Linked DNA regions of Oreochromis niloticus. The protein of the gene in region 1 interacts with the protein of each later gene in a biochemical or structural test. Links are inferred from orthologs where the notes say so. Each region holds a gene or a part of one and is shown in the gene's direction. Other genes may lie near its edges. The genes, in order: rps6ka1, gopc, tamalin and sntb1.

Region 1 (7,690 bases):
ACCTTCCTTCACCCTCTTCCCTTTTTTGTACCAGCCTGTCAGTCTCGGCTGTTAGCAGGTGTTGGTGGAGGTCATAGAGTACAAATGGGACATGGGAGAGGACAAAATGAAGGAGAGCAGACGGAGAGGCTTAAAAATGTGAAAAGGTGTGCTGAAGGAACAGCCTGTCCATCAAAGGTGTTAAATTGACTTTGAAAGGAACTAGTTGAATGATTTCCCTGCCCTCCAAAATATAGTCCCGTTCTTTGGTGCCCACCTTCAGATATTAAAGAGGAGAAGGAAGATACTTTGGCTGATTTAAAAACAGAGAGCCACTTTCTAGCCCGAGTTCATGATGTGATTGTCGGATACAAAACTCTTTTAGACCTCCTGCATTGAAATCCCGCATGAGTGCATATGCATAGTTACACTGTAGAGCTCTGAATATCTCACTTTAAACAGTGTTTATGCATTTCTTCTTTCTCAAAACATGCCAGGCTATTGAACATCTGTAATTTTCGTGCGAAACAGTTGACAAACAGAAAACCACTTTTAAAAGTGGTTAATAATTCATTTATTAATGATATGTAATTCTCTTCAAGGCTATGGGCATGAAAACCAGTAATTAGTATAAAACAGTTGGGATTTGATGAAAAGGGAGCCATCGTCATCGTTTCGTATCATTTATCATTTTCAACACAAAAGTGCTGCTTAGCACTTAGGCAAGAGCCCTTTTATGGAAAAATGTGGAAGGAAAAATGAGTTTTGTGTAATCATTTGTGAAACCCAATATATCTGTTTGCAAGTCATGGGAACTTGCTTATGAGGGTTAAAATTCGGGTCCAGGTGAAAGTCAGAACAGACAGTATGTGTCGCACTTAAGGGGCGTTTTAAGTGGTCATGATTTTAGATTGTGGCTTGAATTCTGATGGTTTAAGTCTTCCTCCTTAAATAAGCAATAAATGATGAAGCGAGAGCAAAAAAATGTCTTCTCATTAATGACCCATAGAGGGTTGTACACTAAGATTTGAACTGAATGATTAGTTAATCATGTGCAAGTGATGGGAATATTTGCCAATATTACTAAGACATGAGTTTTAAATGAAACTAGTTCTACATTCACATACATATTACTCAGCTTTAAGTACCAGTGTTTGACAATTTTTAGACATTTTATACATTAAAAGTTGATTTAATCTCAATCATAACTGATTATGCAGCTGCAGATTTAAATGAGGGTGCAACATTTCAGTACAGGGACTTTTATTAGACATTAATAAAAGTAGCCGTTCCTGCTTATAACCTTAAAGCATTTTTATTAGAAATGCCTAAAAATATGATCCATGCTGCCTACAGTCTCTTTTTGTCTTCTTATATAATCTCAGAATCTTTCGTCATTGTGAGGGTACCGCTGCAGTGTGTTTTTTTTTTTACTCCTCTGAGTGCGTTTGCTCTTGCAGGCAAAGTCTAGTGTGGGTATTTGTTTTTACAGATGAATGTTTAGACTGCTCTGTCTCCCTCTCTGGACCTTCCCGCTTTCACTCGTCATCCTCTGTCCGAGCAGTCGGAGCTGTCTTGCAGTTGAAAACGTACAGGTGCTTGCGCTTCATTTTCCAGGAAGGAGGAGAAGCTACAGTGCAAGACACAAACACTAAGAGAGCAACAGCCTAAATTAACTCCTTCTTCCAGGCTCAAGCACCATTTGACCAGTGACTTCTCTTTTCCTCTTGTCTCTTCCTCTTGTCTTATTTTTTGTAATGATTCTCTCCTCTGAACTTTGCCATCATTTCGAGCTTTGGTGCGTTGCTTTGACGCAAGACGTGACTGTTGTAGGGTTTAAACTGGTGTGACCTCTGCTGCTGTGAATGGACAGTGTTTGGACAGCACTCCAGCCTATCACCTCCCACATGTTTCCTTTCTGTCCCACTTTGTCTCCCTTACTGTAATTGGTGTCAGAGCCAACACTGGGATTTGGATGAGGCATGAGCTAACAATGTGAGCATGCCCTTACTTGGCTAAAGCTCCTTCTTATGACATCCTTCTTTGGAACACCTACCAGTGGACCGACTGCAGACCTGCACTGGCCCCTTGTGTTAATGAAAGGGCATTACACCATATCTATCTCTCACAGTCGATGCATCTGTTCTCTAGCAGTCTGAAAAGGTTATCAAATGTTGCATAAGCGGACTCAGAGAAGCATTTGTGTTAGCTCGTTTAAGCTTTGATTCAACCGAAGATTATCATGACTGTAGGATTCTCTTATTGTTAAACTTTTACTCTGCCCTTTTTCAGGCTTTGTTGGACTTTTAGTCAGATGATGTGTCAACGGAAATTGAAAACCTTGCATGATTGCTATCTTGAATCTCAAACTGAAGCAAAAGCATGAAGTCAGTTTCCCCACTTTTTGCCTAAAATGACACAGAAGATTCAAGTTCTTCTCATTGTCTCCATAAACCTGTCCTTGTAGCTGTTGTATAGACTTGTGATTCATTTTCCCATTGAGAAAGAGCTATTTCCTGCTTGAGTTGAGCCTTTTCCTTCTATGCTGTCCACAGCTAATCGGTCCCCTGCTCGTATGCATTTTTTATAACTTCACTTCCCATTTTGCTTAGCATACAGGAAGGTTGTATCTGTTGCGGTATTGCATACAGAGTTGTTGGCTAACTGACACAGAAGCAAGTGTCTAAGTGTGACTGTCACAGAGGTTCACTGACACCCAGTGACAGCATCAGTGACATGGAAGTATCTGGACACAGACATGTGGAGGTTCTTATTCCGCACCAAAAACCGCATCCCAGAGGCAAGTAGATGCTTTTATTTCATGTGTGCATGTTATAAACCTCTGCTTGTTGTGAAGTGGGCAGCTGCGTGTGAGTGTGGTTGGGTGAAGAATGTGCTGGGGACTTGCCGAAAGCTTTAGGGAGTGCTTGGCGTGTGTGTGTGTGTGTGTGTGTGTGTGCGCGCGCGCGCGCGCGAGTGTGTTGTGTGATATTTTGGGAGTGGATGAAGGGGTTTCCTCTGTGAGGGTGGATGTGAGAGTTTGCATCTTCCCAGCTGTGAAATGACAGGAAACAAAGGAGGATGTGAATGGAGGATCTTCCACCTCCTCCACCCTCAAAAATCATAAAAAATGTTATTTTTAATGCTGCTTCACGGAAGATCCTGCCTTTTCACTCAACCGGTGTAGCAAATTTAAAAGGTAGATACTCTGTTTTTCCGTCTTTGCGTTTTGGCAAAGTCATGGTATTAATGCAATCAAACTGAAACTGATCTGCAAAACCACAAAAAATGAGTGTGAGGCCATGAAGTGTGAATACTCTTTTCTTTTTAATTTTTTTAATCTCCCACACACCATGTGACTTACTTTCAAAAGACAGCTGTTCCTGAGTACTCTAGATTCCAGATAACACGAGAACCTTTATATATAGTTAGTCATAACACTGAATTTCAGCTTCTTCTCTGCAACAGCTGTCATGCTTGTAAACTCAGCTCTCCTGTGTAGTTGGTTATCTAGTTATCGAGCAGGAAGGATGTGAGATCAGTTCAAGAAAAGAGGAAGTGAGAAGTAGGAGGGAAGAGAAGTTTCCTGTCACTAATGTGGCCCTATTCTACCCTCTTCTGTGTGTGTGTGTGATTGTGTGTTAATGAGGTGTACCTGCAGCAAATCTGTATGAACAGGTACGAATGTACCTGTTGCAAAACCCGTCATGTTTTACGTAACTCATGTTAACTGCTCCATTCAAACACTTCCTAGAACGAGTCTCATATCTCCTGGATAGAGAGGGACTATGCCACTATTAGAGCCCAGGTAAGCTCTCACCACCTGTGTACTGTTGCTTTTAAATCGATTCATTCTGCAGCTCCTCCCTCGCTAAACAAACATTACTTCTGCATCCTGCTTCATCCATGTCAGATTGTATGTTCTTTTTCTTTTTTTTTCTCGTCTCCCCACCCTCTGGGAAATGTACTCTCTCATCACAAAATTGTTAAGCAAATAACCTTTTCTGAGCACAGGCTGCAGTGCAGGTTCGCTGCCAGCCAAGTAACGCTGCTCTTTGGTCAAGAGGAGTTGACTCATGCTCTATATACAGGCGCGTAATGGCTTATTCTCTCAGGTTAAAGAAGTATTTGCCGTATAAACAGCAATAAAGTGAGCAATGGAGGAAAGTAAGAGGATCTCAAGACCACTTTTCGAGCAGCGAGAGCTGTGTTAGGAGACAGGATGAGCAGGAACAGGACTGTTAAGAGGGGGAAGAGAGGAACATGCCTGGCCACAGACAGGAAAATCTCTGTCATCCAGAGGCAGTGAGTTGTCTGAATCCTCTCTGGTGTGTTGACACCGAGAGGGGACACATCATCCTCTCTCTGCCATCCTCCTCCACGCTGGCCTCTGTGTTGAATTATGGGTAAAGGGAAGTGGCACAGAGTTGGGTTCTTAAGTCTGTGAAATTACTGATAATACAAGCAAATAAAGCGTTGGGTTATTTTAATCACATTTATTCAGGAAAGCATTTAATCGGCATTTTCTTTTTTCCTTTTTCTTTATCTCTTTCTCTGTTTTGTGCGTCTTTTGAGTTTCAGTGTACTCCTGTTGCTCGCTTGCTCTCTCTCTTTTTCTCTCTCGCTCTCGCTCTCTCTCTCTTTCAGCCGCACACATGTGTGTGTGTGTGTGAGTGTGACAAGAAGTTGGGTGCAGGACTGTGAGAATACAGCAGGCTCTTCCTTCCTGCTCGCTTCGGTTCCAGTTCATTTCAGCTGCAGTCATTCACCGAAGGCACACCGGTCTAATCAGACAGACACAGAGGCAGGGAGAGAGCAAGGACCGGAGACAGAATGGAAGAGAACATGAAGATGAAGCACTGAAAGAAATGTAGCAGAAGGCCTCTGCAGTCGACAAAAGGGCAGAGGCTGAGAGACTTTTCTATATTTACCTGCAGTCCACACAACGAATCCTAACATGAAAGCACAAACGAGCCTAAAGTGTGCTCTCGGTGAGATGAGGTGAGATTTGAGATGATTATATGAGAGGTAGAAGAGTGTGTACCTTGTTATGGATGAAGGTAGGATGATACAACACTCTGGGAAATGCTGAGATGGAGAAGGACAAGAGAAAGTTCAACCTGACTCGCATGCTGTCCATCTACCTGTTCAAAAAGAACAAATCCTTGACTGGCAGCCCTGCTCACTGTAACACCTACAGACCCACGGCGGCAACGGACAAGGACACTGGCACTTTACCTCCACCGCGGAACCACTGGACGGTAAAGTGACACCTCCTGATATTGACATCTCGATCAACTTTGAGTAGTTAAGTCGTTGACAGGGCGTTCAGTGGCATCGTCTTAATGAAACTGAGTTTTAAGAAAATGAGGAGAAAAGAGGGATTCATCAGCACAGCAAAGTGCAAACGAGGTTTTGTATTCGCTCTTGTCGTGGTTGCTCAGAAAACAAGGTGCAACTGAAAGCCTGCTGTGTTCAGCCAACTCTGGTTTCCTGTTGTCAAATAAAGTCCCGGGCTGCAGTGGTCTGTGGTGATGGCGGTGGCTGTTGTTTTGTAGAAACTTTTAAAAAGCTGAAAGAAGAGACTGCTGAAAATATATATCTTTCGTCACTTCTTTGAAATATTGATTATGCAACGGTCAGCTGATTGCACTTTATTATTTTTTGTTTGCTTTTCAAATAAATTACCAAATGTAGCTTTATTCAGGATCCATGGTAATAGTGTAAACCTGAACATGCCTATAAAGGAGAAATTAGGAGCAGGACAGCCCGGATGTTCTGCTTTCTGATCCCTGAGATTTGGATTTCATAGGCAGAAGTGGGGAAAAAGTCTTTCCCCTGAAACTGCACTGGTGAGTCTAAAATTCTCCCAGCAGGGTACCTACTGTACTTTGCTTCATCACAGGGCCCGAGGTGTGAAATTAAAGGAAGATTATCAAGGGAGGGGAAAACTCTTCTCTGCATCGTTGTTGTTGTTGAGTTTTGGGTGAGGCTGACACCAGGTCAGCTGCGCGTGTTCATGTGGTGGAGCTGTGAGCGGTGCCAGCTGGGCTCCACCCAGTTGTAAGAGTGCGCTTGCTGTGAACTTGCTTTTACACAGATCTACTTCCACTGAACGTTTACACCACCAGTTCCAGTATGCTAAAAGCACATAAACGCATCGATAAGCAATTGTTTGTGCTCACATGCACATCTCACTTCTTACCATGCTTCCTCTTTTTTTGAAATGTTTTGAATTGATGTGATGCTATTTACAGCAGGAGGCACCTCCACAGGACAACTGTTATCTTTGCATAAGCAAGCGGCTTGTGACATTTTCTGAGGTTTTTTTGCAGCTGTGCAGCATTGCTGTCGTTCTGTGATCACTGACTGCTTTCCCTCCATCCGTTTTTTTTTTTTCACTCTTTAGGAAGATGGAGACATCAAAGAGATCAACATCACCCATGTGGTCAAGGAAGGCTCAGAGAAAGCTGATGCCTCTCAGTTTGAACTGCTCAAAGTCCTGGGACAGGGATCCTTTGGCAAGGTAATTCGCTTTTACTCTTTCGGTTTCTTTCTATTTTGACTGCATGTCTATTTTTCTCTTCCTCCTTTGCTACTCTTACTCCCCAACCTACAAAAATCGTTGCATCCTTAACAGTGTTTTTGGTGTTTGTTATGTTTTTGGGGGGAATTTAAAAAAAAAAAAATTTCTTTTGCAGGTGTTCCTGGTACGAAAGGTGACTCCTCCCGATGCCAACCAGCTCTATGCCATGAAGGTCCTTAAGAAGGCCACACTAAAAGGTACAGCAGCATCGGGCTTGGATGTGGTCGTGAAATTTTAATTGCTGCTTTTTTCTGTTTTGGCTTTTGGCTTCATTGACAGGAAAAAAACCCCCAAAGAAAAGTGAGTGAGGTTTTTTTTTGTTTTTTTTTTTTTTTTTTTGTAGAGCTGCACCTTTCACCTTTCCGGTAATGTTGATTTGAAAAGGCTTCGTGTTTGGCAACTTCATTTTTCAAGTGGTTGTTTAGTTTCATATAAAAGGGTGTATGAATTTCCTGTAACACAAAGACAGCTATGACATGCAGTGGTATGTGTGCATAGTAAGACCACCACTGCTTTCAGTGGGTTCCTATGAACAGGTGCTGTGGTCTCACCTTCTGCAAACATCGGGGCATCAGATTTCTTCTCATCGTCTCCCAAAATCATGTGGGTGGTTCTGTGCAGCCTTGCAAATTTAACGGGGACCTTTTACTCTCATTTAAAGCTCCGCGTTTTTATTCTTTAACAGCTTTTCATGACTCACAGGTCAAATTCATCATTACTCGCCTTATTCTGGGTGCAGCTCCTAAGGTCACCCTCTGTCTGAAAATCGCTATTTTACATTCCTTCCCTTTTGCTTGAAGTCAGCTTTCTTCTGATTGGCTGCCCATGGTGAACAGAAGTTTTTAAGCAGCAGCTGAGTTAATCTACTGTGCTCAGAGTCGCAGTTGCATGCACAAAATCCCCAAATTTAGGTCATCATTAACATTCAGCACTGACCCCATTATTTAAAAGTTTGGCTATGCTTTAATTTGAGGATCCTCTCCTATTGCAGCCTAATGAGTCCAAGTTGAATTGTACTCTCATCAGTACCAGCATTTGGTGTGTTGTAGTACATTTACCATACTCTGTGCTTATGTACAGTATGCAGTATGACACAGTATGCATTCAAGATTTATAACGCCACAC
Region 2 (7,455 bases), on another chromosome or scaffold:
TGATCTCTTTGCCCCTCATGATATTCTGTGCTCCCTCTGTTTCCGTGTCTAATCATCTCTGCCTCTGTGTTCCCTCTGTTCCAGTGTAGTTAGGTCTCTGAGTAAAGCCCACGTCTCTGAGTCTGTGTCTTTGTGTGTGTGTGTTGAGTTTCCTGTTTTATTGTGAAGGGTGTGTCTTATGTTAGTGTCTGGTTTTGCTTCCCCTTGTCTCATCAGCTCTGATTTCTCCCAGCTGTGTTTCTCTCCTGTCTCCTATTCCCTGATTACTCCACTGTGTATATAAGCCCTGTGTTTCCTTCTGCTTGTTGCTGGTTTGTCTATGCTTTCATTCTTCATGTACTGCCACTCTCTGTCTCCTTGTGTTCAGGTTTGTTGTTTAATTCTTAGATTTTCCCAATTTAGGTTATTTCTCAGTTCAGTTCTCGCCACCCTCGCCTTTTGTTGTATGTCCCTCTCCACAATAAAGCTCACTCACATGAGCAGTGCCTGCATCTTGGGTCCTCACTCATAACCCCACACTTCTGCCGTTGCAGCCGTGACATATTATTTCCCATTCTGTTTGTTTTTATCTCCTTCAACATCGTTCAACTTAGGAAGACCATTCAGGGACCATTAGATTCTTCTTCTTTTGAACATATGTGCTTGTATTTTTTTTCAGCAATTCATTGCATGGTTTTTATGAAATTCCAAAAAAGTGCACCAACCAAGGCCACTCTGGAGCCCTACCACTCGGCCTAACTTTCATCAAACTTTATATGAGTCACAAGACTTTTATCCGGTAATTCTGTGCTTTTGATCTTTTTTTTTCTTTTTTCTTCCACAGGAACAGTTTAGGTTTCATGAAGAATTTAATTTTTCATGGAATTTTCCCAACACTGCATGATGATATCATCAGCTGTAAAAACTGAGGCTGGAGAATAATCTGAACAAAATGTCTTTTTCCTTCTTTCACGCCCAGACCTTTGCCCTAAATGTATAATATATACATCAAAATGTAGCTTATCAATGTCCTCTTTCATCCAGTGTCACTCTCATTGAGATGGGATTTATTACCTCCCTCCTGCCACTCCATCACACCACCACACATGCAGGGCCTTGAGGTACAGGTATGTCACTGTGGTGCAGGGGAGGTATTCCCCTCCCCTCCTGGTCACCTGTGCCTTAATTTTATTCCATAACTTAGACACATTATTTACACTCTGGCCTTGGGGGTGGGCACACTTGAACTGTGTGCAGAGAACGGTCTGTTTATTTAGCCTCACCTCTGGTGCCTGTGCTCACTTCTCAATTTTAAATTGCATGTAGACATTTAGGGTGTTGGGAGAGGCTGAGCTGTCACCAGCTGTTATCTGGCTGAAGGTTGTTGGCGCCATGCTCCTCCCCTGTTTTAAATGCACTTTAGAACAGCATGCATCAACACAACATATGAGAGGACCGTTTGAGGCATGGGGTCTTCTCACATCCATGTTGTCTGTTCATCATCTGGGGCGGGGACTCTGTGCTCTAGCATAGCCAGCTGCTGGTGGAGCCTGTGGGCTTATCCCTACGCCCCCCTGGGGCTTTTGCACCGTAGCTGCTGGGTGAACCCCGTCTGGGGCTCTCCTCACGTCTTTTCTCGGTGGGTGGTGTGACTTCCCCTGCGGTGGTCCTCCTGGGGCTCTCGTGCTCTGGGGTGCCTATAGATGTCTTGGGCCCGGGTCTCCTCCATGCCTGCTTCATGTCCTGGGGTGGCCGGAACAAGGTGTCCAAACAAATGCACACAATCTTGGTTGGCTGCTGCCTCTAAACATGTGATGTGTCATTAATACTGTGTGTGCTCAATAACATTAAATATTTAATATTTACTGTTACTTATGCATATGATGGTTGTTGTTAAGGTTTCCCTGCTGTTGTTTTTTGCATGTTTTTTTTAAATTTTATTTCAGCAGGTGGTCAAGATTTTCAGTGCCCTCTCTCTTCTTCTGTTAACTTTCTCCCCATCTTCTCTTTCCTTTTGTTCATTCTGATTGTAATAAATAAAAAAAAAAATCCTAATACAAATCTAACAAAATATGACTTTCAAGTGGACCAGTATAGCAATGGTCCAATTGGGGAAATAAATGTGCATTTTGTTTGGCCTTTGGACAATAAATCTGTTTAGTTCAACTATATTGCAACCTGCCACATTAAGGTTGTATGCAGTTTCCACTGCAGATGCTTCCAGAGGACTAGATCACTACGAGTGAGTCCTGGGTGCTCATGATCCTGTTGCCTCTTCAGTAGGTGCCATTTCTTGGACTATTTTTTGTAGGTACTCATCACTGCATACGGATGAACAAGGTGCCTCAATCAGTCAGTATCTTTTTCGGAATTCTGACTTGGGAGATGACCTGAAACGGTGCCCGTGCAACAGTTTTAGTTGCAGAAATGCTGGCCAGTGGCAATGCTTCAGGATATTGTCTTGTGGTTCACCACTTGGCATTCTGGGCAGGATGCTCGTCACTGGCGCACATCCCCTCAATGGTCAGAGTTTTATATCCCATGAAAGGATATTTTCACTAGGTGCAGAAGTGGATCAGTGAAATCACCACACATGAGAGCACACATCATCCTCAGCACATTTCCATTTGTTTTCCAATTTTCAAGTAGGGTTATGCTTTGAAGCTAACTGCACAAGTTGAATGACCCCTTAGTTTCAACTAGAGGTGCTTCCTAAAATCTGCCCTGCCTCTGTCGTGCTGGTTACTACAACTGGTACAGAAGGACTGAATTATTATTAACCAAACAAAAGTACTCATAATAAATAAAACTAAATAATAGTTCCACATTTTCCAGCACTGTGTCTAATTAACCCTGATTAGCCTTGGTGTGTCTGTGAGTATAAATGCCTTTTCTCTCTGTGTTCTCTATCACATCAAAACTCACGGATTATTTGATCTCCACTTGTCGGGTGCAGTCTGCAGCGATGGGAAAAGTGAGGCTTTGTGAAACACTGAAACACTCAAAGCATTTGTGCCGGAGTTGTATTGAGGCTTCGAAACAACCCGAAACCTTTGTCCATGGTGACATCTGCTGGCCAATTTCACTACACCAGTACACTATAGTGACACAGACAAGCTCTGCACAGTTCCAAACAAAGCTACCTATTATATGAGACTGTTAATAATTATGATCAACACATATTTTGGAGGCCAGAAACATATTGGGACTGTTAAAGAAGGCACTCTGTGACTAGTGATCAGTGTACTTCAGCAAAATTCTCTCTCTTTTAATATTGCTCTCAGTTACTTAATTTACAAAGTAAATTAAATCATTTGAGAAAAGACTGCTGTGTTTATTGGAATAACCACACAGGTTTCCAGCTGTTGTGAGATCAGTGTGCTTTGTTTTTGGTTGGTTTTTGATTGATTTTGAAGCTTTCCAGGTGTTCGTGTCAGCTTCGTGCTAGAAACTGGCACTGCACTAGGTTTTAATTTCAATTAATTAAAATCTATAATATTTAAATAAAAAAGACAGAATTCCTTATTTATAAAAAGGTCAAATTTGTCACATTTTCATAGGCTAATTCTGACCAATCATAACAGACCATTTCACACAGGTTGACCAGAACATTTTTAAATCATCCTCTGCTGAGCAACCTCTGAACCATGAAGAAACTTTACTTTATACTGCTGTGGATGCTGTATCTTATAACACTGGCATGATGTTTTACTGGGTCATAGTGAAACTGCATTACTCCTGCTCTTTATGAGATTATTACAGCAGAAGCGTCAGTGGGAATGAAAAAGGGATCACCTGTATTTAATGGATGTTTTTCTAACATTTCTTTTAACAGTATAAATATATTCTTTATGGCGTTATATGAGTACTGTGTTATAGTGATAATAAAGTAACTTATTGCAGCAAATAAAGTTTTCTGTTGAAAGGGATTCAGAGCTGAAAATTCCTGCTGTTTTATTTTCTCATTGAAAGTAGAGAGGAGGTTTTTATTGAGATATTCAGCAGTGAGTTTATGCCACAGATTACACTTTAGATTCCAGTGTTTGAGTGCTTGGATAATCCATATTGGGCTTCACAATCCACGACAAAAACATTACTGAGAGAGAGGGTGTTGGTTAGTGAATCCTGGTGCCCGGTGTACGCCACCTGTCGAAACTGGCCTTGGTTTTTCTAACACCTGCGCTTCAGAAGCTTCCCATCCCTACGAGCAATACAGCATAATGCTTTTTGTGCACATCCTCATCAGTTACTTAGTGAGCCAGAACTACACAACACGTGTTACTTGAACACTACACAGTAAATCATTACACTTGCAAATGTCACGAAAGCCCCGAGATTAGTAAAATTATATTGTTCATAAATAATGTTATTTATTTATTTTTACAAAATTTCTCGCATTAGAAGACTTTAATTGTGAAAGTAAGAACAGGAACAAGCTCTGCGTAAACATGTCGTATTTCCGGTACGACGTAGACAGACAGTTCCCGTAGAACACCCACAGGGCACAGTTCCACAGTAGCGGAAGGAGTAGCCGTAGCTCTCCTGTACGCCGCTTTCTGCGTAGTGGCTGCTTGGATGAAATCGTGAATCTGATGTGGGACTTCCTGGTTAGGCATTGCTTTCGGGAATTTTAAGTCTACGGACCAATACAGTGTTCATCACATTACAGCGTTATTTTAACGGTGTTGGCAGAGATTAATTTGTCATCGTTTTTTAAGTTAGCACAAAGCTAACATCAGCGTTACCTTGCTCTAACCATGTCTGCTTCGACTGGATGCTCCCCATCGGGCCAGCACTCGGGCCTTGTCCCCAGTATGTCCATGTTTCGATGGCTAGAAGTGCTGGAGAAGGAATTTGATAAGGCTTTCGTGGATGTGGATCTGTTGCTTGGAGAAATAGATCCAGATCAAGTGGATATAACGTATGAGGGTCGGCAGAAGATGACCAGCCTCAGCTCCTGTTTCGCTCAGCTCTGTCATAAAACCCAGACTGTCTTCCAGCTCAACCATAAACTAGAGGTTAGTATTTCTTCTAAGAAGAGCGGTTATGTTAGGAATCAGGTTTCTTGTTAATGAAATGATCACGCCGACTCCACTCAAGATTCAGCAGAGTGACTAATGCCACAGAGCAGCACTGGTGTTTTCAGGGCTTCAGTCACTCCTGTGTTTTGGTGTCCTCCCTGTGCTTCTCAGGTTTTATATCCATCTGTGGCACCGACCTGTAAACTGTGATCACATAGGTTAGGGCAGGGGTCTGCAACCTTTTACACCCAAAGAGCCACTTGGACCCGGTTTCCACACAAAAGAAAACACTGGGAGCCGCAAATACTTTTTGACATCTAAAATGAAGATAACACTGTATATATTGTTTTTTTCCTTTGTGTGAACAAGGTAAGGTGAGGTGAGGTAAAGTGTGCTGCTTATGAAATCCACGAAGTGCTACAGAGAAAATTACATTTTATTTATGTAATCAACACATTTTGAACTCTTAAAGAAATATAACAAAAGCAAAGACACCCAGCTGAACTAAAATGATCCATGTAGCAAACAAAAACTGTTGTGAGCCGCCTCCCTTATATCTCCTTTGGGCTGTTGGAGCCTTGACCTGACTTTTAAAAAATAATTGGTAAAAAAGCTCTATGCTGCTGAAAAATTAAAAATAGATATTTGCAAAATTCTGCCTAAATATGTATTTTACCTGGTTAATGCGTGCGGCGGGGGCGTGGTCTGCAGCGCCGCTGCAGGGGAGGCGGACGCACCTGAGCGGCACCCGCAATCACGTTTACACAGGACTGTAAGCTGTCATCTGTGGTCTGTGAGGCGTGAGCAGTGTTTGTCTTTAACATAGTTCACGGTGGAGCTGCTGACATAATGTGGATCCGAAGATCCATAATTGGCCTACCTGGGGTTGAAAGTCTCGATAAATGCACGGTGTTTCGGCGGGAATACCAGCTTCCGCGAGTGTGACGCTTATATTGAGTGAGGAAAAAATAATAGAATATAATTTTATATTTATATTTCAATATCACAATAATCTTCCAATTTAGAACTACAAATTTAAAAGAACTAACATAAATAAAATACACTTCAGCGAAATACTTCTAATTTATTTTCCCAAACCACGCGGAGCCGCACTATAAGGACTAAAGAGCCGCATGCGGCTCCGGAGCCGCGGGTTGCCGACCCCTGGGTTAGGGTATCCACAGCAGCCTTCGTTTGGTCATTGAAACCAACATAGGTGTTAGCATACTTCACATTCACTTGTCTTCTAGATACAGAACATGTTCTCAGGTGTCTTTAACCGCTTTATTAAATATCCTTTATAATTATGTACCACTAACGTTTTTTTTTAAATAAATAAATTAATTAATTTCAGCATTTTTCGATGATTACGTCATGGCCTTAAAAATGACAATGATTTTCTTTTCTTTAGATGTTATCGGGATTATGTTATGTAATGTCTCGTTTGTTTTCTCGAGTGCCCTTCATTTTTTCTGTAAATGTTAACATAAAACTAAAAACAGTATCACTGTCATTCACTTATCCGTATTGTGTCTCTAATTAATATTATTATAATAATTCAGTGTTTTTGCTTTAAGAACACGACCTGTCATTACTAATTAGACAAATCAAAAATGCTCTCACTATAAAGACATGATTAAAAGCCTGAGACATTTTCTGAACAATACAAACCTAAATGTTCATTAAAAATTGTGTTGCTTTCAGCTAATCGAAACCATAAGAGCAACAGGCTAATCCGCTCCAACACACATTATTGTTTAGGCCGTTCAAAGCTTCCATACATTTCGACAAAGTTGTCAGACTCGGTCTGTAAGTCGGCAGGCCCCAGGCTTATTTTCAATGAGAGGGGCTTTAAAGACTAAGTCAGCACCTGAACTCCTTGGCATTTCCTCAACAATGTTTGCTGTGTAATTAGGGTGTATTGTCATGTCCAAAGAAGCTTTGCCATCTGTGAATATTGTCATTATGGGCTGTATCGGTGTGTAACAATGTTTAAATAGGTGATACAGGCCCGAGTGACATCTGCATGAACTGATGGGTTTTCCTGCTTAGAGATAACCCTGCTTCTTCCAGCTTAGCTTGTTATCATAGTGATTCATCCTGCCACCTGTTAAACCTGTTAAACAATGCACATACACTGTGCCATCCATCTATCAGATGGAGCAAACCCTCTGCCCTAGACTTTGAACCTTGTTACCAAATGTTTTCCAGTGTTGGAACAGAAGTGGATCATAGAGGGGTCAGGACAGATGCACTGAGAAAAATGACTGAACATGACTTATTTTTTGTCAAAAATTTTGTGATTGTACAGTTTTGTTAGCTCAGCGTTAGGGCTGGGTATCATCACTGATTCCTAGAATTGATTCGATTCCGATTCACAAGGTCCACATTCGATCCACGATTTCAATTCGATTCGGGTAACTTATCGGGGAAATTTTTCCTCAGAAATATTATA
Region 3 (7,669 bases), on another chromosome or scaffold:
TGTGGGGTGAGACCAAAAAAGTGGACACTAAGGGACTGACGGCGCAGGAAGAGCCGGAGGTGATCATCAATCCAGAAATCCTGAAAGTGGCTTCCCAAGGTATTTTGCAGTTGACCTGTATTACTCAGATGTCTGATCTAACAGCAGTGGTCCTGAGAGAACACAATGAAATACACAAATTAATGAAAATATAATTAGCAGCAAGTATAAAGTTTATCTAAATTCATCCTCACCTCAAGCCTCATCTCCTCACCTGAAATCACTTCTCTAATACACAGAAACGTGCAATAATATGTTTATTTATTTCTGATATTGTAACGATTTCTTGTCGGCAAATTAGACGTGCAACATCTGACAACCAGCAACATCGAAAACTAACCAACATCAGACGGATATAAGCTAACATTATGTTTGCTTTAGTGTCCTAAAGATTACATTTTCCCTTTGTTAAACAGTTTGATTACATTCCTTTAACGTATGGAAGTTTATTCAGTATGTGAATGTTATCAGCAGCACTTACTGATAGAAAAGTTCAGCTTATCCTCAAACTCACGTCAGCATCAGCGTCATTGGACAGAAGTGAGCTTCACTGACTCATCGACTCACATTAGACTTTTCACAAAGTTTAACCTGTCACCAACTCCTTTATGAGTCTTTTTACGAGCCACCAGCAGTGCATTAAGTACTTATCTCTTCATCCATTCTGCCAGTATATATCCAGAGTATATAAACTTACTTCCTAGAGGAATTTCACAATTAAAAATGTGTTGCGGGCAACATATATCTCTCTCTGATAGTTTTAAATAACCAGACAATCCCAAAATACACGGTAGTCATTTGCATTTTAATTTCCACATTTTCTCCAACAGACAGGGGGTTGATGTTCTAGCAACAGTACTAGAGGGTGTAATAAAAAATAAATTTATTCCAACCAAACTTCCTCTGTTTCTAAATTGCACAAATTATAATAACAGTCCAATGAAACTGGAACCCATATGATGATGTTTGGTCTAACTTTGAATGTGGCGTTACTGATTTTCTGGCCACTTGAGGGCAGCATAACCCTGTGTACACGATTTTGACCCCTTAAAGGTCATCTATGCTGTACTATACTGTACTTCTGTCCATCTCCATATATTTATTCTTGGCTTTTACTATAAACATATTTACTACAGAATTCACATTTAAAGATGATATCTATTTATCTTATTTATTTGTAGCAGCCCCTCTTCTTTCTTTGAAAGCGATAGTCCATTTAAGTGTTTAACTTTTTTATGACTGGCCAAAATATTAACACTTAAATGCAGGGTTTTAGTGCATACATACAAACAAACAAGTACCTGGTGCTATTTGTGTAATCTGGTTATTGAACTTTATGATACCGAGCCACCAGAATAGCAAGCCAAAATTTCAAGGCATCTGTATTCTTATCTGCAAAAAAAATGTTTATGTGTCATCTTCCATGTTCTTAGTTCTTCTTTTGATTGTACTGTAAAGTTCCTCCACTATCTTATCAGAAGATTTCATGCACTACAGAAAAGGGTTTTGGTGCCCCTGGTCAGCATTCATTTGAAGTAGGCCCAATTTCTCACAGAAGGGATGCTTAGTTTCCACGTGCCTCTTCAGTGCTCGAATGGCACCATGTTAACATTAGCCAACTTCTCAGAAACGATGACGCATGCAGGCTGAAAGCTGTTGACATCTCAGCTGAAATCTTAAGAAGCAGAAACCAGCTTCTGCAAAAATGTTGTTTTTTTTTTTTCTTTTTTCTTGAGGTTCTCTGCACTAGTGGTTAGTTATGGTTTGCTTCTCAAATCAGTTTCCTCCTAACTATTCATCTCTGTGCTGTCAGCCAAGACCTGAGTCCAACCATCCCGCCATTGTATGCACAGAGAAATAAGTGCACGTAAACTGCAGTTGTTTGCAGGTACATGATGATTATACATTATGTATGATTATTCATATACATTGGTGTGCCTCAAACCACTGCTGTCATTGATCTCCACTCTGATGCGGATTAAATATGAGAAGTGGCATCTGCCTCAGGCCCAATCTTGTCTTCCTTCTCTGGACTGATTAGCCTCTGCTTTCTTGTCAGACCTCAGTGATCGGCGATTAGAGGTGGTCGGCCTTGAAGGAGCCATGGAGATGGGCCAGATTTACACTGGACTCAAGAGCGCGGTGCGGCTCGCGAAAACTTCTCAGATCACCATCAGGTGAGGGGGGAAAAAAGACACACGGACATGTTCAGACATGACAAGGCTGGACTTTCAGCTTCAACAGTGGGTCGTAGTTAGGGATCATCGTTAGCTAATTTACATAAGAAGATACATTTACATTTTAATGACACATGACCTTCCTGATGCATTCTGTTTATCCCTCTCTACGTAGGACAAAGAAGGCATTACCAATGCAGATAGATGGAGAACCGTGGATGCAGCCTCCCTGCACGGTAAACACTGCACAGGCACAGAAACACAGGCTGCTTTAGTATTAGAGCAATGCAATGAAGTCACATGCCTGAAATGCCTGATTTTATATATTTTTTTTTAATTTACAGATTCACATCACACACAAGAATCAAGCCTGTATGTTGATGGGTCCTCCGGCCAAACCATCTGGCTTTTTCAAATGAAACAGACTGACGACATGCACGTGTTTGCTGTATATAGACAACTGACTCTTTTTCTCTGTAACATAAAATCAGTTTGGATGTGTATGTTGTAGAAAAACTGCATTGTGACAGTCAAAGTTAGGATAACTATTTCAAAAGTTCTGCATTACTGTAACACATAAACTAAGCATGGCATAATACAAATACAAATGTTATGGTACGATAAGTTTGCATTGTGGCAAAAATGACCAAATTTTCTCAGTGTTTTCTATCAATACTCAACACTTGCTGTGTGAGTGCTAAGTGGAAGTGCTGCTTGGTAGAAACTTAAAGCAAGCTGAATATCATGCGAAGAGTAGAGTATTCAGCTCCATGTGCCTTTATTAGCTGTTCTCTTCATTATGGCTTAGGTAGACGAACATACAGGCATGCACTTTGAGCATAGACCATGTAGTATTGCTGTTTCGTTGTTGTTTTAAAGAAAGTCAGAAATATGTTTGTGTGAATTTGGAACCAAGACAGAAGAAAAGACAAAGCTACATTTCAGTGATGTTGAAGATACTTGAAAGTGTTATTGGGAATAGTAAAGAGGCTGCATGTTGATTCACTTCCTCCTGTTCCCGTGTGTGCGTGTGTTTGTGTGCATCAGTGAGCGTGTATGAGTGTGAGGGCATAAAGCTGAGATATGTTGATTTTAATTTGTAATTTGTGATGAGTTCAATTCGAACTTATTGGTTAAGATATGTTTAAACATGTTTATTTTTATTTAAATGCTTTATAAATCATATCATTCCAGTATATCAGGAGGATGTTGATGTAATAAGTAACTGTGTAAAGATTTTAATAAATCATCTGGACTTCAGTTTTTGTTTTGTACTTCTTACAATTCGATAATTTTTACATACCACAAGGGGGCATTGTTAACTTTTTTTTAGTCCTGGGTCATGCGCTCATCATAGTCTCTCTCTGTGAAAGACTTTTTTTTTTTTTATCTTAGAGATTAATCTGTTTAGTGTCACGGATCTATAATCTGTTCAGATTTCCCCCTGCTGAATTTTAACAAGTAATAAAAACACTAAATTTGCAACTAAAGGTTGGCTTGAAAGCAACAAATGCTGCCTTCACAGCAATGTGTGCACTAACAACATGATGACACACCTGTGGAAACTCTGTCAATGGCTGGTGGTCACAATGGTTTACACAACTGTACTGCAAACAGTCGGCCACACAGAAAATTATGTAAGACCCCAGGTTTCTAATGAAATTTACACAAGATTATTTCTGCAAGGCACATTTGCTTTTTTGCAGCTTCTCCCTCATTTGAAATATTCCCAATTGATGAATGAGCAAATACTCAAAGCAGCTTTTCAATGTTATTAAAGAAAAATAAGCAAAATCGTTTTAAACTTTTAACAAAAGGATAGAAAATCATCAGTCAACTTATTGAACTGGATTGATTCATAATGCATGCACTGGTAATAAACATAAATGAAAACCCTCCTGCTTCACCTTATCAGAGGATTTAAATCCATCCAAATGGTCCTGCTGCCTGGGTTCAGATCCAGCACTCATTTGCAGCAGGCTTAATCTCTTTTGGCAAAAGAGTCATTAAGATTTCTAAAGACAGAAGGAAGCTGAAGTGATCTAACATTCAAACTGCTACCAATTAGTATAAGAAGCTGAGGTATTTCAGCTGATAATTTTGTCTGATATTCTATTTTTGGTCTGTTAAAAATCAGAAGTATCGTTTTGTCCTACCAGTTGACCCTATAGTGAAAATATTTAGTCTGCAACCATATAAAAAGTAAATAAGCGGAAACTCTGTCTTCTTGTCTGGAATTTTTGGATTACATTTTTTAGCTACTGGTCGATTTTCTTTCAATCAGCTAAGAAACTAATGACATTTATTTATTTGTATCTTGGTAAACACTGTTTGCTGTTGTTTCAATGCGAAACAGAAATGATCCGAGGTGCACTTGAAGGCACCGCGGAGGAGGCAAGTCCCTGTCGCTATTGGCAGTCATTTGTGTTTCTCAAAACAGTCCCCGCCTCCAAACTATTCAAAGGAAACAAGAGAAATTGTAGTTGGCTCCACGCTGAAGCTCCAAACTCGGTCAGCATCTCCCTCGGCAGGTTTCAGACTCTGTGGGAGGACAACAAGAAAGTTATTTTTACTTTTTTCAGTTTTCATTTTCAACAACAATGACGTTCAGGAGGCTGAAGAAGGTGAACTCCAATGGACCGGAGAGCGGTCCCGCATCTCAAGACGACATTTATTTCCCTTCGTCAAAGTCGGACAGCTGCAGGACTATGGACACACCGAGCAACTCCTCGGAGGTTTACAACTACAAGACCCTGGCTTACTCGGGGGGGACGCTGCCCAGAAACTACAAAAAGGTATTGCTGCTGTTCCTGTTAAATGTTTATTTGCTGAATGTACCTGCAAAAGTTTCTTTTTTGGCAGGTACACTCATTAATTAAAGTTTTATTAAATTTATTCAGTGCTTTTTCAACTTACAAGGCAAAAATCATTTACACAGTAATTTCTGTATGTTTCCTATTAGTCCTTTTATTACTTATTATTTAAGCAGAGACTGTAAGCTTATTAAAAGGGTTATCAAGTTATTGTATCCAGTGAGTGGCTGGTCGGCGCCACACAGGACATCTTATAGCAGCCCATCTCGGGGCACGGGTGCCCACCCAGACTCTGAATCTTATGCTGTATGAAACAGATTTCGCCCATGTTCTTCATACCTGAAATGATCATCATACCTTAAAATCTTTATCTGGATGAAAGTGATCTCTAAGATTAAACACATTTTTCTGAAACGCATGACTGATAAGTTTTTGTTGTAACAGGTTACAAAAGCAAATTTGCATTTGATGATTCATAGAAAGTTTGTCACTGTAGTCATTTTAACAGTAAGTTGCATCAGAGCTACAGGATGCGCTACAGAGTTCGGAGGGACGTGCTTATTTGCTTAAAACTTACAGCAGTCAGTCATAGTATGCAGATCACCTGCCCGGATCTTTCCCTTCGGGATGTTTGTCTTCTTCCTCCTTCCTTCCCTGAGCCGTTTTGCAGTTAGGGACAGCCGTTGACTTTGGGGCAGGTAGGTGGGGGTGGGTCAGTATGAGGATCAGTGTGATCATTGTTATTCACATCACCTGCCGTGGTTTGAATGTTGTGGCTGATTGTGATCTGATTGGTTATAAATTGGCCTCGAGTCTTCTTATTTCAGGGGAAATGATTTTAACCCCTGGCCTACATATTAGTCTGGATTTGAGGAATGGTTTCAGACAGCCCTCATCCTTTAGTCCATGTTGCGTAAAGCTTGATGTTTATACTGTAAATTTGTTTGGCTACTGCATCAGTCACTTTTATTTTCCTCTCATGAAGCTGATTTCAGTGAATTCTCTTACTCGACTTGCTTTGGAGTTTTCTGCCCGAAGAGCACATCAGAGTTGGAAAAACTCCTTTCACAGTGTCCTGTTGTGACTGAGGCACAGTTAAACCCACACACATACACTAGAGCGACGGGTTACAACACAGCATTGTGTACACTCGGGGATGGAGATCCTGCTCGAGCCACCCCTGTTGGTCTCTCTGGGTATTTGGGAATAAATGCACTCATTGAGACTCCTCTGGGTCAATTCTGTAAGTGTTGGGACATAAAGAAAGCAACATTTTACTACCCAGAGAGACTGTAGCACAAAGCAGCCTTTCATTGGAGCGGGATTTGAAAATGATTGAGCTGGAACAGAGGTGGATTGATTCAAGTGATTTTAGTGGAGCCTTCTGGACAGATACCTGCCTTATTTACACAGTTAGGTGGGGCAGGGACCTGAACTGCTCCTGCTGGTGAGTTGGCTTTTCTCTCAATGCTGTTATTGTGCTCCGTTCTCACCTCTCTGTCTTATTTGCTTCTTTTAATAGACTGCACTTGCTGTAAACAGCGCTCCAGTTTTTAGATTGGTTGACAGCCTGTGCCTGAAGGCGGCCAATTTGCTGTTATGCGTAGTAGGTATGCGTGCAACTCTTGTTTTGATGTCATGAGCAATGAGTAGACAGAGCAGCAGTCACGCATTTCTGGTTTCGTCAACAATGTCTCCATGCTGGCATGCTGGTTAAATAGCTTAAGAATACCAAAACACTCTTGGCTCATTATTCGAGACGACTGGACGGACTGGCTGCTGATCGCTGATGTGCTCAGTAGGTGTGCCTAGGAAATGCTCGGGGGGAAGGGGGGAAATCCTCGTGAGTAAACTTGAAGCTACGCAGGTGTGTGACATGCTTCACATCTTGTTTCGTTTTCTCCTTGCAGGGTGGCGGCTTACAGAAGTGGAAACCCCTTACGCAGACGCCAGAACCACAAAGGTACAACATCCCTCATCTTTCTCTGATATTTCTCTTTGGACTTTTTTATTTTTTCCCTCTCACTGTGCCTTCACATGAATTCTTTCACGGTGGCATCTTCCTCAGAAAAATGATTCAGGGCGAGCAGCCTCATATCAGAGTGAATGGCAGTCATTCAAACAGGGGGATCGCTGATTAAAGCCATTGTTAAGGGAGGTTATAAATATTCATTGAGCCTCGTTGAGCTTCACTCCAACAGGCCGTTGTACTGTTACTGTACGTCTGCATGTGACGTCCGCATGCTCCTGCATACAGAGGAAGTCCTGTGCAGCCAGTGGAGTTGCATTGTTATGCAGTTTAGTTAAGGATGCAGAGAAACACAGACATTAACCTCTCGCTGACTTTCACTCCTCCTTCCTCTTGTATTTGATGTACATAAAAGGCTGTTTTATGGATGAGTCAGAATAAACATCATTAAGCTATGTTCGAATGAGCTATAAAACCTCTAAAACCATAACCCATACTTTTATTATTGGACTGTGCTAGAATAGATTTGCACCATAGTTTATTTATCTCATTCTGGGCAGCCTACTTCATGGTTCCTTCCCCCCACTTCGATCTTGTGGTTCTAACTTTATCTGACTTGCTGCAACTTAAGAAGTCGAAAAAAAAATTCCACACTGTTTGTCAACCTTTAT
Region 4 (7,173 bases), on another chromosome or scaffold:
ACTAATAAGGTTTAACATCAAGTTACTGTGTATCAACACATAAACAACACTGAAGTGATATTACTGAATGGCCACACAAAATGTTAGAAATCTGAATTTACAGTTATTTTTTCATTGACTTACTATATTAACATAACTGATCTGAAATCACACAAAAAACATAAAATCCTTTGTTGTTTTTTACTGTAAAAAACACAGACATGTTTAGTAAATTATTTTCATAACTTGAAATGCAAATATAAATTTTAAATTTTGAAAACCTATGCACAAATTTTGTAAACAATAATGTTATATACAACTATTTATCTAAAAATGCAGCCAATGCACCTGGCAGTTTGATTTTTTGTATAACCATTTAAAAATACTGCTATAACGAAAATGAGAGAACAATCAGGTGTCACAATAAGATGACCCACAAATTATTTGTGCCAGTAAAAAAAATTGTTTGTCCGCCACAAGACAGAGGAGACACCGATAAACCCTGCAGGCCTGACAACGGGTGTATCACTCCACCTGGAGACAGTGTTTACATTACAATCTGCCTTTGTCACATTCATTAGTGCCCTCACTGACACACAAAACAAAACAGCGAATACACAGCACACTAACTATACACTCCACGCTAAACGTCACAAATCTCCCACATCTCAAAACTCGCTGTCGATATCGCTCTCTATCTTTGGTTCATGTTGTCATTTTTTTTATTGGTTAAAATCGTACATTTTTCCACCAGTAGGAAAGAGGTGGCTTTTTTTCCTTTCTTTACTGTTTTCGCGCTGTCCTTAGAAAATGCTTTTTAAAAAACAAAACAAAACAAAACAAAAAAACAAACACTTCTTCTGCACTAAACATATGTATTTTTTTTAATCATAACTCTAGATTTAGTGGCCTGCTATTAAAATTTAAAAACTGGTGTATACTTTGAAGTCCGAACTTTCAACACAAGCTTAAATAGAGACTCAGCGTGGCTGCAGCTTGTTGCTGTATCAGCTTAAATCAGTCAGGTGTGTCCTGGACCTCAGAGGGTTAATAAAACTCACCTTCATTCCATTTTCAAAGTGTGACAACCAACCACCTGTGTGAAATCTGAAATGCCCGTGGTGTTGATTCAAAATGTGCTCTGGCACAATCATAGGCATGGGTTGCTACTGTAAACAAGAAATAAATCCGGTTGGCATATGGGCTGAACCATTTGTTAATGGTGGAGGGGGGTTAACACTATGTAATATATTCAGTTTTATAATTTATATTTAGTGTTAATAATAGCTAGGTTCAAAGTGTTAATGCTGTCTTATTTTAATAAACAACTCTGTCATATGTAAAACTTGGGCTGTAATAGGGGCGGCAAAAAATCATTTTAGGGTGGCGCATGCCACCCCATGCCACCATTCTAGATTCGCCCCTGCCCCAGATCTGCGAGAAGATCCCCCAAGACACCAACTGTGTATCGTTAGGAGCCCTGACATCATCAGGTATGCACACATGCATGTGGGGGCCATACAAACTAACATCTTGAGTTACTGGACTACTGGTAATGGACTAGCCTGCTGCATCATTTTCCCCCCTTTGATTTGGTTGATAATTTTCATATCCGCCAAACAATGTGGCATCATTTCATTCCTAACACATTACTCAGTTGATATGAGTACAGATATCCAGCATGATTTTTCTTTCCCATTGAGATCTCAAGTGTTCATTTAATTCATTTGAGAAGCATATTTTACAAAATCCTGATCGTTTTTTTCTTGGTCTATGAAGAGCGTGTCCTCATTCTGTTTGCAACAAGCACAAAGATGTATGTGCCACCAAGCAATGGTCATTTCCACCATGTTTTCCCCCTGTATACACTGTATATTGGAAAACTGACATGTCAGTCTTAAAGCAGCAAACTTAAAAAGGTTCTCTCATTGTACTCGATTCTCATTCCAGTTAAAACTAATAGATAAAAAGTGTATTGGTGAGGCAATATGATGACTATACATGTTTCTAAAAAGCTGAGGTAGGGCCATGTCTCTCACTGAGTCGCATCAGCTCTATAAGCTTTTTGAAAATTGACAGTGAAAGGTTTTGCTCAACAGTTAAGTGCCTCATTTGTTGTATGTTTCATTTCATAATGCACCAAATATATTAGTTTTTCCTGCTTGGCACCCAGACTGCAGGGCTCTGATTATACATGCAGAATGTGGTTTGGCATTGTCTTACTGAATTAAGCAAGGTCTTCCCCTGGAAAAAGATCTCTGGAAAAAAGCATTTGTCCCTCCAAAACTTGTATATATCATTCGGCATTAATGGTGCAGTTACAGAGCAAGTTATTCATGTGCATTAATGCCCTCCACTTCATCATAGATGCAGCTTTTTAGACTGTGGGCTGCCTTTTAAACTTATGGACTGATAGCAAGCTGGATGGTCGTCTCTTGTGATTTCCTAAAAGATATTTTCACATTTTATTCATCATATCACCAAACAGTTATCTCCCTTGCGTAGCTGTGGCTTTCAGAAGTGTCTCTGAGCCCTTGAAATGGTTTCCTCTATAGAATTACATGTATTAATAGGCCATACACAACAGCCATTCAATAAAATTTAGAAAATGTATCATCTCCAAATTCTTTTCACTTTTTTGTTGAAAAAAATGCTTTATTTATTTATAGGATTATGCATCTTTCCTGGTCTTTAGCTTCCTATTTTTCAACTTGTCAGCTGAAACATGTTGCAGCTGACAAGTTTTTTTAAACACAGCATCCATGCTTTTAGGGTAAAATAGGCCTAGTAGGGAGGATTAGCCTAGTAAAACTAGAGATGGATGTTGAAGAAAAGCTGAAGAGAGATGGGGAAAAAGATAAACCAGAGTGAGCTTTACGAATTAGTGTGTGTGTTTTCCCCCCTTGGTGCCATTGGTGGCCCTGAAGGAATAAATTATTCAATAAAAAGTCAAATAATAATAATAATAATAATAAAAAACAAAGCTCAAAACAAGATCGGGCCACACGTGCGTCACGTAAGTCTTCATCTGACTGCTTCCCCCTCTTAATTATTGCCAGAAAGCCAGTTCACAGACCCACAACACAGAACATGTGTGTTTGTGTGTAACCACACCTCTGTGCAGCTGCTCTCTGGTGCACTGAAAACAAAATGTGCAATCAAGTCGCCGGGCGAGGAGGGATATAAAAAAGATTTATTAACACCTTTAAGTACCATCACCTTTAAAAAGATAGCACTCTCTCTCTCTGTTTCTTTGTTTGTTTTGAAGGTCATTATCACAACAAAGATTGTACATTTCACGTGACAGCTCATTTCCATATAAAAGTAAAAATCGCTTGTAGCTCCTACACCTCATTAAACTAAAAATATTCTTTGTATTTCTGTTGCAGTCTCTTGTTCACAATAAACAAGTTAATCATGTCTTTGGTGCAGCTCAGTAGTAATGATCTGACATAGTTTTGAGGGCAGGCTTGTAGGGAAGCTTGTCTCCCACGCTGTACTATATATTTCCATAACTGAACAACTTTTAATGACACATTTTAACTTAATCCCACACACAAACTAATTGTGCACATATGGCACAAAACAGAGGTAAAATACTCTATATTAGCAGTCTGCAGCCAAGTCATACATTCACTAAATCACTAAAGAAGCTCTAGTATTTAGTATTTAAAGGCGTCACCGGTAGGTGTCGTAGCAACATTTCTAATAGTTTAGTGTGACACTGTGGTCTACTTCACCACGTTTCAGCACTTGAGCAGCTGTGAGTAAGATCCACAGCCAGACAGCTGCGGAGCTAAAGACGTTTACATTAAACATTTTCTTGTTCTCAGTATTCCAGCTTTTACTGAGATGCAGTCAGGAGCTGGTGATGAGATGAAACTGATTTTGTCTCAGCCTCACTGTCAGTCACTCACTAGACTTGAACACAGGGGTTAAGCCTGTGAAGAAAGGTCCGCCTGACCAGCGATACTCCGAGAAGCTCCGGTCACTATGCTGACATCTCCAGCTGCGCTCTCAAGGTCTAAGCTGACTGACTTTTTTTTTCAGCTTTCTGGATCGCGCATGATTGACAGGGCGTAAGGACGTCCTTTAGAATAATAGTAGACAAAACAAAGCCTTAGAGGGAGGCCTTCCCTGACAGAGCTTCAGAGAAAAACGTGCTCCCTCTCTTCTTTCGTTCTTCGAAACAACCCGCACAGACGCATTCCTGTACGCGCGTAAAACCTTCTCACTTCACCCACGGAAAAACGGGCTTTCGTAGAAGAATGGGACCCACTAGACACTTGGAAGACTGGAAATTAGTTCTAGTCATATAGCCTATTTGATTCTTCTTCTAATTAATATTATTTAAATATGTCTTTAAAAATCTACCGCCGTGGGAAAAAAAATGCCAATTTTCCGTGACTTCAGTTCCATCTTACCCAAGAGCGCACAAAACAAAAAATATTCTACTCCACAAATTACATTTTATTTTCCTGCCAGTGTAAAAGATTCGTAAAGCCAACTCTAACATGACAGTAGTGTAGGCACACATCATGGTAGTCTTGTCGGTTTGATGTAGCTGGAATGGATGAAAAGTGAATTTTTGCCTAATCTTCGCGGTGTTTGTTTACCTCTGCACTGGTTAGCGTGTTTTACAAGAAGTTGGGAAATGATGTACACATTTTGTACAAGCGGGATCTGGAGATGGGATCGGCTGACGGCGGGGGGAGGAAAACTCCACCCAGCAGATAGGATCTTGGGCAGGCAGAGCGGAGGGGGAGTTTGCGCTGAAAGAGCTCGGGCTGGTCGGACGGGACGCTCGATATAAGTCCTGCAGAAAACTTCAGAGGGGGCAAAGTCCAGCCCGGGCGAGAAGAAGATAGGGTGGAACTTGCGAGCGCGCTGGGAACTAAACCACATGTGATTTTTTACAGAAATGCTCCAAAGATGGCGGTGGTAGTAGCGACTGGAGTTCCGATTGGCTCTGGAGTGCAAAAAAGTGGATTTGTAGAGGTTTTGGTGCGAGAGCAGTGGCACAAAGTTTTGGTCAACTTGAACGAGGAAGCGCTCACGTTAAGCTGTGAGAGCAACGTTAACGAGAGTGTCGATGACAATGTCAACTCTAACGGCGTTACCAACGGATCTTACCATGACAACAGTAATACCAACTCCAACAATGGCCCCCAAACTGTGCGCACCGCGTTCACGGACCTCCCGGACCGGGTACCCGAGGCGATCGCCAACAAAAAGCGGTGCGTCAAGGTGACCAAGCAGGAAGTCGGGGGACTCGGGATTAGCATCAAAGGAGGGAAGGAGAATAAGATGCCCATCCTCATAAGTAAAATATTCAAGGGGCTCGCAGCGGACCAGACCCAGTCTCTGTATGTGGGGGACGCGATCCTGTCCGTGAACGGTATGAACCTGCGGGACGCGACCCACGACGAGGCTGTGCAGGCGCTGAAACGAGCCGGGAAAGAGGTGACTCTGGAAGGTAAGGCATACTGGAGAGGAGGCATGTGAGAGGATAAAAGAAATAGAGGAACACCTGAAAGAGAGGTAGAGGTCGGGGAACCTCCCATTGATTGAGTAGATTACGGGTTGTTTTTTGGAAGCCTCTGTGAATGTTCGTGCAAGTACAGATTTTATTTAGTGAAGGAGTGAAAAGCGTACCCCGACGGTAAGAGCTGAGTGTAACATATCCCACAACAGTTTGTGTGTCAGTTTCTCAAATGTTGCGTAATATTTTTGGGATGCCCATAAACTCACATAAAGACGTGAGGAGATCAGTGCTCCTTCACTGAATGACACCTGTAATGTCGGAAGAACCTCTGGCTCCACATGGTTGCCTTTTTAGACTTGGGTTTTGGGTCGATCAGGTCCAATAGACACGTTTTTTATTTTCTACTTTCCAGTTAATTACAGTCACTTGTCACTCACTTATTGCAGCAATAGAATGTGAAGGAAAAAAGAAAAGAAAAGGGAAAAACACAGCTTCCACTTTGACCTCTGCTGTAGGATGTAATTTATTTTACATTAAAGAAGAGAGGTGCTGGTTGTTATACCCGGGAAAGTAAATATTATTCCAGCAGCTGATATTAATTCACCCTGTTTATATCAAATTAGATTGCAGTCATCCGAGTCTTGAACAACACTGGCATTTGGTGCTGTTTTATTACATAATTTGGAAACAGGTTACAGACTGATTGCTTTTTGCAGAAAAGAATAATTGAGATTAAGGAAATAGGTATTATGCAACTAGATGTGCCATGGGACAATCATGCAACATCAAACTCATATCTTTTCCCTTCCTCTGGCCTTTTTTGCTTCCTCAAATGTGCAGCCTGTTCATTTTTTTTACAGTTGCTTTCAGCTAAAAGATCAAGATTAGGCTGTGGGTAGCCACACTGAGAAAGGTGAAGACACACACACACACATGCACACACATTCCTTTATACAGGAAACTGTTGCACATAAGTGCCTACTTCTCAGTTCTTTAATTCCTGTCCCTAAGAGGACTCTTGGACCCAAGACAATAAGAACAAAGTGTCACTCTCTCACTCTCACTCTCTCTCTCTCTCCCTCTCTCTCTCCCTCTCTCCCATGCACACGTGCACACGACTCTCTCTCATCTCAGATACACAAACACGGTGATCACCCTCCTCATGGGGACATGCTGGTCCCAGCTGAAAATTGTATCACGATCTGAAAGAAGGGCAGAGGAGATTGGAGCAGAGGAAGGTGAAGAGAGAGAAAAATGAGGGGTATAAGAGCATTTAATGGGAGACTGAGTGGATGAGAGACTGAAACAGAAGGACAGTTAACAAGAGATTTAAAGAGGCTGAAATAAAGATTACTGTGAGGGTTAGTATTTTCACAGTAACTGCTATTTAAGAGAGATAATTTGCACGTGAGAAATTGGGTAACACATGAAGGTGTTGCACAACAAAATGGCATCAATTAGTCAAATGTAAAGTAAAATCGAATGAATAGTGATATGTCAAACCTAAATATCAGCACCATTTTATTTTATTCTTGAGTGGGAGCCACCTTGAAAAGATTTGAGAGAGGCAGACTGTATCGTATAAGAAAAGGGATCAAGAGGAAACATCTGATGTATCTTTTAGGAGATCGTACCTGTCCCGTGGGAATAGAGTGTGTTAGTGCATTTTGTCTGCAAATGTGCAAAAGATTTGTACGTGGATGTTTGTA

Evidence for each region.
Region 2: the proteins of rps6ka1 (region 1) and gopc interact in a test that uses a peptide from one of them, tested with the Homo sapiens proteins (2 studies listed by BioGRID and IntAct, with this or other methods). The link is inferred for Oreochromis niloticus from reciprocal best matches to the Homo sapiens genes RPS6KA1 and GOPC.
Region 3: the proteins of rps6ka1 (region 1) and tamalin interact in a test that uses a peptide from one of them, tested with the Homo sapiens proteins (2 studies listed by BioGRID and IntAct). The link is inferred for Oreochromis niloticus from reciprocal best matches to the Homo sapiens genes RPS6KA1 and TAMALIN.
Region 4: the proteins of rps6ka1 (region 1) and sntb1 interact in a test that uses a peptide from one of them, tested with the Homo sapiens proteins (2 studies listed by BioGRID and IntAct, with this or other methods). The link is inferred for Oreochromis niloticus from reciprocal best matches to the Homo sapiens genes RPS6KA1 and SNTB1.

The regions. Positions count from the first base shown.
Region 1 is NC_031983.2:14,341,766-14,349,455, forward strand, and holds the start of rps6ka1 (ribosomal protein S6 kinase alpha-1), read left to right. Parts: upstream 1-4,670; 5' UTR 4,671-5,072; coding exon 5,073-5,240; intron 5,241-6,388; coding exon 6,389-6,505; intron 6,506-6,680; coding exon 6,681-6,762; intron 6,763-7,690. UniProt on the Homo sapiens protein: Serine/threonine-protein kinase that acts downstream of ERK (MAPK1/ERK2 and MAPK3/ERK1) signaling and mediates mitogenic and stress-induced activation of the transcription factors CREB1, ETV1/ER81 and NR4A1/NUR77, regulates translation through RPS6 and EIF4B phosphorylation, and mediates cellular proliferation, survival, and differentiation by modulating mTOR signaling and repressing pro-apoptotic function of BAD and DAPK1.
Region 2 is NC_031980.2:28,200,777-28,208,231, forward strand, and holds the start of gopc (Golgi-associated PDZ and coiled-coil motif-containing protein), read left to right. Parts: upstream 1-4,455; 5' UTR 4,456-4,736; coding exon 4,737-4,997; intron 4,998-7,455.
Region 3 is NC_031984.2:9,491,399-9,499,067, forward strand, and holds the start of tamalin (general receptor for phosphoinositides 1-associated scaffold protein), read left to right. Parts: upstream 1-4,665; 5' UTR 4,666-4,816; coding exon 4,817-5,011; intron 5,012-5,606; exon of another isoform or gene 5,607-6,476; intron 6,477-6,683; exon of another isoform or gene 6,684-6,818; coding exon of another isoform or gene 6,819-6,827; intron 6,828-6,939; coding exon 6,940-6,992; intron 6,993-7,669. Other genes in the region: dgkaa (diacylglycerol kinase, alpha a), read left to right, coding at 1-99, 2,099-2,216, 2,392-2,452, 2,561-2,635. UniProt on the Homo sapiens protein: Plays a role in intracellular trafficking and contributes to the macromolecular organization of group 1 metabotropic glutamate receptors (mGluRs) at synapses.
Region 4 is NC_031976.2:8,169,989-8,177,161, reverse strand, and holds the start of sntb1 (beta-1-syntrophin), read left to right. Parts: upstream 1-4,164; 5' UTR 4,165-4,911; coding exon 4,912-5,455; intron 5,456-7,173. UniProt on the Homo sapiens protein: Adapter protein that binds to and probably organizes the subcellular localization of a variety of membrane proteins. May link various receptors to the actin cytoskeleton and the dystrophin glycoprotein complex.